Linked DNA regions of Macaca fascicularis. The protein of the gene in region 1 binds, or shares a complex with, the protein of each later gene. Links are inferred from orthologs where the notes say so. Each region holds a gene or a part of one and is shown on either strand. Other genes may lie near its edges.

Evidence for each region.
Region 2: the proteins of MUS81 (region 1) and EME2 are in contact, whole or in part, in a crystal structure (PDB 7F6L), measured with the Homo sapiens proteins. The link is inferred for Macaca fascicularis from reciprocal best matches to the Homo sapiens genes MUS81 and EME2. Residues at the interface, in NP_079404.3 of Homo sapiens: His330, Glu351, Phe354, Lys357, Arg358, Arg363, Val365, Glu381, Leu385, Gln386, Thr389, Asn390, Gln392, Val393, Ile394, Phe398, Lys400, Arg401, Tyr411, Leu414, Leu415, Arg417, Gly418, Leu419, Arg421, Leu422, Pro447, Ile464, Lys467, Ala468; in NP_001244299.1 of Homo sapiens: Glu140, Arg177, His179, Glu220, Glu221, Val224, Leu225, Gln227, Leu228, Trp229, Asn231, Leu232, Asp233, Leu235, Arg245, His246, Ala249, Val250, Lys252, Ala253, Leu254, Gln256, Tyr257, Lys260, Gln261, Glu264, Gln266, Phe268, Phe270, Cys271.

The regions. Positions count from the first base shown.
Region 1 is NC_088388.1:8,540,287-8,544,973, forward strand, and holds the start of MUS81 (crossover junction endonuclease MUS81), read right to left. Parts: upstream 3,226-4,687; 5' UTR 3,023-3,225; coding exon 2,888-3,022; intron 2,804-2,887; coding exon 2,674-2,803; exon of another isoform or gene 2,655-2,673; intron 2,496-2,654; exon of another isoform or gene 2,426-2,495; coding exon 2,340-2,425; intron 1,781-2,339; coding exon 1,682-1,780; intron 1,530-1,681; coding exon 1,461-1,529; intron 1,297-1,460; coding exon 1,211-1,296; intron 682-1,210; coding exon 541-681; intron 337-540; coding exon 244-336; intron 147-243; coding exon 25-146; intron 1-24. UniProt on the Homo sapiens protein: Catalytic subunit of two functionally distinct, structure-specific, heterodimeric DNA endonucleases MUS81-EME1 and MUS81-EME2 that are involved in the maintenance of genome stability.
Region 2 is NC_088394.1:2,537,284-2,542,054, reverse strand, and holds the start of EME2 (probable crossover junction endonuclease EME2), read right to left. Parts: upstream 3,329-4,771; 5' UTR 3,308-3,328; coding exon 3,061-3,307; intron 2,983-3,060; exon of another isoform or gene 2,831-2,982; coding exon 2,694-2,830; intron 2,321-2,693; coding exon 2,228-2,320; intron 1,817-2,227; exon of another isoform or gene 1,782-1,816; coding exon of another isoform or gene 1,668-1,781; intron 1,543-1,667; coding exon 1,177-1,542; intron 1,019-1,176; coding exon 903-1,018; intron 772-902; coding exon 582-771; intron 501-581; coding exon 330-500; 3' UTR 1-329. Other genes in the region: MRPS34 (small ribosomal subunit protein mS34), read left to right, coding at 3,416-3,736, 3,889-3,931, 4,036-4,328. UniProt on the Homo sapiens protein: Non-catalytic subunit of the structure-specific, heterodimeric DNA endonuclease MUS81-EME2 which is involved in the maintenance of genome stability. In the complex, EME2 is required for DNA cleavage, participating in DNA recognition and bending.

The DNA of each region.
Region 1 (4,687 bases):
GCCAGCCTGCCCACGGCCCTTCACCTGGGTCTCTAGGATTGGTTTCCTGCGCCACCCATACAAAATCCCCAACGTGCAGCTTGCGCACTGTGTGGGTCACGTGCAGCCGCTGTAGCTCTCGGAGCAGCTCCGGCCTGTGCCCGCCCCTGGAGTGGCAAGGAGGGAATCCTAGATCAGGGCAGGGCAGTGCCTACCCCCCAGCCTCCTCCGATCATCTACCTCATTTCTCCCCACCTCACTCACCCCCGGGTCTCGCCAATGTCCACACACAACAGCACCCTGTACTCTCCAGGCCTCAGCTCCAGTGGTGGCTGCTGGACCCCTGCTTCACTGGCACTAAGTGGGGGGTATCGGTATGTGAGGCCAGAACCCCTTGTGCTAGGGCAGTTGCCCCACACCCATGCCACCCGACACCCACCACCCACCTACAGTAGGGAGGCAGCCACAGCTCAGCTACAGGTGATGGATAGAGGTGGGGTTTTGGCCTCATTTCCCATCCCCACCTCCCTGTTTTCCCCCCTCCTCCGCCCTCCTTCTCACAGCTCTGCTGAAGCTGCTCCTGGCACTGCTGCCTCCTCCCCAGGGGGCTCCTTAAGCCCGATGCCCACATTCAGCAAGCTCAGGCCTTCTGACTCGGCTAACTTCTGGGCCAGCTCCAGGCCCTCTGGGGTCAATGAGTACCTGGGAGGCAGAGGGGAAAAATACAGCTCTCCCTTCTTCACTCATTCCTGGCAGGCTCTCCTGCCTGCCCCTAGCTGGGCTGGCCTCACCGCCCCCTTGGCGCCCTGCACAAATGACCCCAGTGGCTCCTGCTGCTCCTGGTCTTCTTGGCTCTTAGAGCAGTTCCTTGGACCTGCTCAGCTCCATTCTCAGGTCTGCAAGAAGTGTGTCTCAGACGATTTCCTTCCTCCTATCTTCACTAATGCTGTTTCCTCCTCCTCGAAATACTTATCCTGAATCTCTACCTGCCAAATCCTAAAACGTGTCAAACGCTATCTCCTCTGAAAAGTCTTTCTACTCCTCCAATAACCACGGCACCCTCCCACCCCCGCATCTGCGGTTTCACACCCTCCAGGTACTCCAACAGTGGGGGCTCCTGAGGAAAGGCCCCCAACCTCAACAGCATCAGCTCTGGGAGTTGTTGAGTGACTCTAAGGCCCCACTAAGAAGTTCATGTGTGCTTTCCTGTATCTCCTGCAGTTGGCCCCACCTGGCTGGCTGGTGTGTCCTGAGGACCAGGTTCCTGTGGAGGAGGGAGCGGAGGGCTGGCCAGGGTCGAGCACTCCCAGGGGCTACCTGTGGATCAGAAAAGAGACCGTCAGAGAGCACCTGGTACCACCACAAGTCCATGTTCCCTGTGTCCCCAGCCACGGGCCACACACGGGCCCACTGCAAGAAAAGGCAGTCTTTGGTGGGCTCCAGAGCCACTTGGGCCTGTCTTCCCCAATCCCTGTGCTCACCCTGGGGGCCTTCTGAGCACACCTCTGCAGCAGCTCCTCCTTGGTTAAGAAGTGGTAGCCATTAGGATTCTGAAACCAAGGTAGAAGAGACAGGGTAGGCTCAGTGCCAGGGACCCTCCTCATCTCGCTCAGGTGGCTGGGATAATCTTTGCCTGCCTTGCCAGGGCTAGGCACCTCTGGGAACTTCCCACCCCACTGCCATGGTTCCACCCAGTGCTCACCAGGTGCTCTCGGTAGAGCATCAGCAGTATCACTCGGGCTCCTGAGTGCCGAGCTGGCCAGTAGTTGCCAGAGCCTCCAGCTTTGGACTGGGCAGGAACCTGAAAGGTACAGAGGAGCTCTGAACGTGAAAGCCAGCCAGTCATTTTCGAGTAAGTCCCCAGCAGGCTTTGTGGCCCTGGGTAAGTCACTCAGTTATCTCTCAGTTTCCTTCTCTGTAAAACGGGCCAGGTGATGGGATGGCCCACTGCAAATGTGCGATGAGACAGCAGGCAGTTTCCGGGCAGCGGGTGGGGGTGTCTGCCCAGCCTGGCCTCAGTTCTACCACGCGCTGCAGAACACGTGTGATTAGACAGGAAAACTCAATAATGGTGACCCCGTAACTAACTGAGCTGGGCTCCCTAAGTAGCTTGATTATGGAATTCTCTTGTTGGCTGTTACCAATATTCCTATTCACAGATTAAATGTGAATTTAATTCAAAAAGTCAAAAAGAGGGTCAAAAAGAGGGTAAGTCAAAAAGTCAAAAAGAGGGTAAGTCATTTGCTCAAGGCCAGGAATCACTGGTGAGATTTGGACTCAGGCTTGCCAAATCTCCCAAGCCAGAAAATCATACTCCCGCACTCCCACTTTGCCTTCCGCTCCCCTTGCCCCTTCCTCACTGGCATGGAAGAGTCCTGGACTTCCGCAGGTCGCCCCTGGGGGGCTGGACTGTTCTCTCCAGATGGCGAGCCCGGGGCATGGTCACCTGCGGGAGCAGAAGAGAGTCAACTCCACACTCCACGGAATCCGGCAGCTGCGAAGGTCTGGGATGCAACCTGCTCAGATGATAAGTGAAACCGGTGAGGGAGGCTCAGGGAGCGCCAGCCACTAGCCCGAGGCCGAACGGCAACTTGGACAGGAGTGGGGAGCTTAAAGCTAAGGGCCTCCAGGTGAGTACGGAAGCTGCACCTGGGGGGAGGCAGGGGAGCACTGACCCTTTTCCCAGACGCTCACCGCCCGATGTTCGGTGCCGCTGCAGCCGCTCGTCCAGCATCCGGCAGAGCCCGTCTCCGAAGTGCTGTAGGATCTTAGCTTCCTTCCCGCTGCGCAGCGGCAGTGGGTACCGTCGGAGGGACCGCAGCGCCTGGCCGGGCAGGGGTAGGGTTCCTGGTCAGGGCAGGCCCGACCTGGCCAGCAGCTTTTCCCATCGGGCCACGCCAGGACCCACCTTCTGAAACACGAAGCGTGTGCGGCGCCCGCTGCGGGTCGCCTCGTCCCGCCACTCGGTCAGCCAGCGAACGAAGAGCGGATTGGGACAGGCAGGCAGCGGGCGCTTCCGGCCCAGGCGGACCGGGGCCGCCATGAACCCGAGGGCGGGTCCTCCGGCGCCCCACGCCCGCGGGACTGGGACGCCGCCAGTTCTGGAGTAGGGATTCGAACACCTGGCCCGGGGCGGGGCGGGAGAAGAGGGAGGCCGAGGGCAGGACCGCTGAGATCACAGGGCCCCAAACACACGGGGCACTAACGAGAGGAGAGCCTGCCGCCCTCCCGCCCCTGCGCTGCTCTAAGTGGTTGGTGAGGGGCGCTGTCTCTTAAACGATCTTTCCCCTCGGCACCACTCCAGCTAGCCTTCGGGACGCGCCCAATCCCAGCCCCCGGAGCCTGGACCGACTCCTTCCTGTCACCCCAGATTCGAGAGCGGGGTCATCTTTGTGTAGGCGAGAGGAAGGCGGACAGCGCCCCCTGTGACGGGGAGGACTGGTTGGGCGGCGCTTAACGGACTAACCTGAACTTGGCCACTCTAAGTCTCTTAAGATTGCCAGTTTCAGCCTCAAGCTTGAAGGAGGCTGGAGATGGAGACTGGTCTTGAAAAGAGTCCAGGAGAGGCGAGGGCTGGGAGACAAACGGGTGCAAACGTATTGGTGGGAAGGACACCCAGAAATGGGTGCTGGGGATGAGGACACAAAGGTAAGGCAGGAGGAGCTGCAGGATCCTTGGAGGAAATGGTCATCCTCATCCCCGGGATACAGGGTGTATGGTGGAAAGGAAGTCGGGGACGTGCAGAGAAGGCCTAAAATAGGACTCGGAAGGTCGGGGGTCAGAGGCCTAGAGGAAGGAGGACTGTAAGTAAGAGGTGCTTGGGCACCCTGGCAGTTGGGGAGGCCTGAGATGGGCACGTGGTTGGGTTCCGGGGCGGAGGAGCAGGCTGCGGGTTAAGAAGCCCAGACACAGGTAGAGGGGAGAACAGTTCGTCATTTTTGTGGCTAATCGGAAGTGGGAGACCCCCAGGGAGGTTGAAGATGGAAACCCTACAAAGGGTTTCAACCTGAGAAGCCTCAAGGACATGTATAACTGAGTTGGACACAGGCGACCCGCCAGGGTTCGAAGCAGCACCCGGCATCTAGCTGCTATACCGGAAGTCGTGAGACGCAGGTCTCCAGGCTGTGAGGAAGGGAGAGGTGGGCGCCGGAGCTCCAGGCCCGCCCCTCAGGACTGTGCCTAGCCCACGGCGCAGTAGCCCCACCCGGGCTAAATTGGACCAATGGGCTCCGGCTCCCGCCTCCTGCCCGCCGCGGCCTTATAAGGAGCCTGAAGCCGGCGGTCGGGCTGACCCCGCCCCCTCGAGTCTCATGTCCTAATAAGGACATTTAGGGCATCCCGCGGCTGGGGGCGGGCGGGAGCGCGTCTCCAGGGTAACTGCGAAGCCCCCTCCCTCTCCCCGTTGCTCTTGGAAACTCTAAGGCTCGGAAAAGGGGGCGCTAGCGTCTTCATGCAGGGCCGCTCGCGGGAGGCGGGGGTCAAGCTGCTGTCTCCACCTGGAGCGCCGGGAGCCCAGGCGGGGGCGGTGCAGTGGAATGTCCCCGACTACAACCCCCGGCATGCTCTGCAAGGTACTCCACTCCCTGGCATCGCTCTCCGTTTACACCCTTAATTCCGTTTATAGGATTAGAGTCCCCAGTTCCCTTTCTGGGTTTGCCTCTGGCTTGTTTGCGACCCAGTCTTCTCTTCCTGCAGAGTGTGAGGCTGT
Region 2 (4,771 bases), on another chromosome or scaffold:
GCAGTGGGGCCCTGGTGCTGCCTTCTGGCCCCTGCCAATGTGTGTGTGTGTGTGGGGGGGGGAGCACACAGCCCTGCTGCTGAGCTCCCCTGTGGCCCGTGTGTCCAGGACTCAGCACAGGAACCACCAGCCATCTGCCAGCCAGAAGCCCCTCTTCTCATCCCAACTACCTAAAACTTCCCCAGCAACCACCCACCCTCCCCGAGGTCAGACCTGCTCAGCCAGAGGCTGAGAACCCAACCCACGTATGGCTGGGGTCCTCCCCCACTGCGCCAGGGTATCTGGTCTGTCCCCAAGGCTGCATGCTGTCCTGGTGGTCCCATGTGTGGTCAGGAGCCCAGGTCCAGCAGGAGGTCGGGGTTGGCCGTGGTCAGGAAGAGGCAGATGCGGCGGGAGAGGTCAGGCCCCACCCTGCGGGGACGCCCGCCTTCACTGGGCAGCACGGGGAGGTCAGCCAGGAGGCCCATGCGCTCCTGCTCCGTGCTGCAGGCCTCGAGCGCCTAGGGGCAGGCGGAGGTATGAGAGGGTGCCTGGGGACTGGGCCTCTGCACCTGGAGGGGTTCGAGGAGGGAGGGGCCCACCTGCTGCAGAAGGCGAGGGGAGGGGAAGGCTGTGACCACCGCATCGGCCACGGCTGGGCTGACTCGACTAAACTGCCTGATCTGCCTCCGCCAGGCCCCCCGCAGCCCTGTGCCGTCTCTTGCCACCGGCTCGCCGGCTGCCCAGCGCCCTGCTGTGCAGAAGGAAAAGGCCTGGGATTCCCGGTACTGCCTGGGGACAGGGAAGGACAGGGAGAAGCCTTTTAGAACCTCAGCTGAGCAGCTCCCCATAGGCCGGGGAGGCACTGCCACCACCTTGAGGTGATCCTGCCCCCTGCCCCCTTCAGTCCAGGTGTCACGCACTTGAGGGGACACTGGGCGAGAGCCTTGGTGATGGCGCACACGTGCTGACTCAGCTCCTGCCACGAGGCCACCAGTAGCACGTCCAGGTTTGCCCAGAGCTGCAGGAGCACCAGGGCCTGGGGAGGAGGCAAGCTGGTGGGCACGAGCCAGAGGAAGGCTCCCTGGGACACAGCTGATAGCTGCGCCATGTGCCACGCTGGGAACCAAACCCAGCCAGCAGCCCAATCACCGGGACCCAGGCCACCTGACTCACCCAGCTCAGACAGGCCCTCACCTCTTCCACCTGCGGCCAGCCGATGGCCACCTCGGCACCGGCCACCTTCGGGCTTTCCGGCTGCTGTGTCCCCGGGGCAACGTGCTGGCGAGACCTGAACAGAGGTGACCATTCCTCCCTGTTCCCCATGGGGCCTGCCCTGCCCGAGCGTGGCCTCTGCCAGAGCCCACCAGGGGAAGTGGGATCAGCTATGCCACAGCAACCCCAGAAGTGTGCCCACCTCCCCTGAACCCCCATCCCAGCCACTCCTGCTGTGGGCATGAGTGAGTGGTACCACAGGTAGGCATCCAGCCCGATGACAGCCAGGTGGGACCGCGCGGTGGTCTCAGGGGAGATCCAGGGCACCCAGCGAGTCGGGCCAGAGATCTGAAGATGAGAACGTGTGGCACAGTTGTTCACAGGAGGCTGCGGCTCAGGGTCATGGGCCACCAGGCCACAGCTGGTTTGCAGAACAGCAACCCTGAGAAAGAGCCAGGGGTGCCCAGACGAGCCTGTTCTGTTACCCTTCGAGAAAACCAGCTCTGTGCCTCCCACGATGCCAAGGCGGCTAAGGAGACCCCTGGAGTGGCTGCCTGGGCACATCTCAGTTCCACTGAGCCCCTCATCCCGGTCCACCTCTGTATTCCAGCCTAGCTTTAACCTAGCACAAAGCAGGGCCTTGAGAGACTCATCCTTGGACACAGGGACCTGGCAAGGGTCTGGCCTAACCCCACGCTGCCTGGTGCAACAGCACCTGAGCACTGCTCCTTGCAGGCAGGGGCCGGGCTGTCCGCTGTCAGAGGACGAACACAGCCCGCCTGCAGCCTACTGCCCAGACCCCGGCCTCCTGGCACTTCTCAGGACCCTCTAGGAGCAGCTGTAGCCTCCACAGGAGGACCTTTCTCCATCTCACCCTAGAAACCTCTACGGTTTCGGATCAGAGAGGAATCCTGGCCTGCCCCATGCCCCCTCCAGCCCCGTCTACAAGGGCAGGGACCGGCAGCGCAGGCGCCTCCCGGCTGGGAACCCACCCGTCCTAACTGGAGACGGACTACTGCCACCACCCGAGCACCTGGGTCAGTGTGGCGACGCCCTGCAGAAACTCCTCGGGGTCCAGCAGCAGCAGGAATTCCTGTTCATCTGCAGTCCACACTTCAGAAGGCAGCTGTGGGGACATGGAGACGCGCTGCTGCCTGTCTCAACCCCGGGTGCCCCAGGGGCCCTGCCTGGGCAGTCTAGCAGCAACGCGGTCCGTGGCCCCAGCCAAGCCCAGGTCCTGACAGGACTGCTCTACAGAAGCCCAGGTCAGGTCTCTGGGGCCGGCAGGAATCCTGACCACAGCCTGACTCCGGCCGGAACCTTATCCAGCCAGCTCGGCTCTTTACCAGCAGAACGGCTTGGGCACCCCCACTTTCCGTTCTCCATCCGTGGTTTACCATCCGCGAGACGCGCACCGCCCAGGGACAGCTCCAGGACTGAAATCATGGAAGCAAAACAGCCAACTCGGGGCTGGCCCTCGGGAACCCGCGAGCACTCACGCTGCGGGGGCAGGGGTCGGGACTCGCTCGGGTCCACCGCAGGCTGCGGGCCGGGCGCTGGGGCTCGATGCGGCACTCGCAGCCCAGGGCCTCCAGGGCCTCCATCAGGACGTCGGCACCAGCGTCTTCCAGGATGGCTGGGACCAGGGGAGAGGAGCGCGGTCACTGCTTCCCTCCACCCTCGCGAGCGCCCTACCTGGGCGGGGGCGCGGACCCGGCAGCTTGCATTCGGCACAAACCCCCGACTGGGAAGCGCGCCCGGCCCCAGGACCCTCGGCGCGCGCGCCCCGCCCCGTCGGACGGAGGGCGCCGCCTGGCGGAGAAAGGCCTTTCCTGCCCCGAGCGTCGCCCGTGCCCTCCGCCGCACCTGGGTCCACGCACACCGCCAGGCGCTTCAGGACCTGCTCCGGCCGTAGCAGCCGCAACTCCTCGGCAGCCGCCCTGCGCTCCCCTGCTGGGTCCCGGGCTCTCGGGGCGGCCTCCGAGCCGGAGGGGCCCTCAGCGTCGGAGTCTGAGATCTCCCAGGTTGGAGGTCGCCGCTGACCGCTCCCGCCCCGTCCCCGGCCGCCGCCCTGGCGAGAGACCCCCGCCCTCCCGGGTCCAACCCGCGCCATGGCCGGACCGACTTCTTTTTCGCTTCCGGCCGCGCCCGAACACTTTAGCCTGGGACACCGGCCTCTTCCGGCGGCTTCCGGCCGCAGCGCTGAGGACGCGGGTCCGCCATGGCGCGGAAGAAGGTGCGTCCGCGGCTGATTGCGGAGCTGGCCCGCCGCGTGCGCGCCCTGCGGGAGAAACTAAACAGGCCGCGCGACTCACAGCTGTACGCTGTGGACTACGAGACCCTGACGCGGCCGTTCTCTGGACGCCGGCTGCCGGTCCGGGCCTGGGCCGACGTGCGCCGCGAGAGCCGCCTCTTCCAGCTGCTCGGCCGCCTCCCGCTCTTCGGCATGGGCCGCCTGGTCACGCGCAAGTCCTGGCTGTGGCAGCACGATGAGCCGTGCTACTGGCGCCTCACGCGGGTGCAGCCCGACTACACGGCGCAGGTGCGTGCACCCCGTCCGCACCCCGCCCCTGCAGCCGCCTGGTCTCCCCGCCTCCCCTCCTCCCTGCAGGTTTGCGTGTCTGAGGCTCCCACCTCCTGATCTCGGGGGCCGAGAGCCTTGCGAGCTGACCTCGCTTCCCTCTGGTTTTGCAGAACTTGGACCACGGGAGGGCCTGGGGCATCCTGACCTTCAAAGGTAAGGCTCGGGAGAGCTGGTGGAGAGCGGGTGCGCGGCAGTTCGATGCCGACCACCGACGGCACAGCAAATGTGTGTGCAGCACACCTCTTTTCCTTCATCAGGGAAGACGGAGAGCGAGGCGCGGGAGATGGAACACGTCATGTACCATGACTGGCGGCTGGTGCCCAAGCACGAGGAGGAGGCCTTCACCGCGTTCACGCCGGCGCCGGAGGACAGCCTGGCCTCCGTGCCGTACCCGCCGCTCCTCCGGGCCATGATTCTCGCAGAACGACAGAAAAATGGAGACACTAGCACCGAGGAGCCCATGCTGAATGTGCAGAGGACACGCATGGAACCCTGGGACTACCCTGCAAAACAGGAGGACAAAGGAAGGGCCAAGGGCACCCCCGTCTAGAATGCCAGAACCAGAGGGTGGCCTGAGGGGCTGTGAGGCAGCAGGGATCTTGTAGATGAAAGAAACCGTCTTCGCGTTACACCCGAGTCTGCCCCTCGGAGCTGGGAGGTCACCTTCCGCGACGTTTTCTGAGGATCTGCATTTTAGTGGGGAGGGCTGGGGCAAATCGCCACCTATGTTTTTCCTCTGGCCCTGCTGCCCCCACACCAACTCCGCAGGCTCACGCTGGGGAAAGCGGGAAGCGCTAACTCCCCTTCCCCCATTAGTGCTCTCTTTGCCTGGATCCCGGCAGAAGCTATGAAAGGGAATAAAGAGAAAAGAAGTACCCCGGGTTGCGGTGTCTGCGCGCTGTCTTTAGGACCGGGGAGAGAAGGGCTGATGTTGTGGTCTTGGCCCTGGCCGGGGGGCGGGGGCTCGGGCGGTGCGGAGCAGGGCGCCGCGTG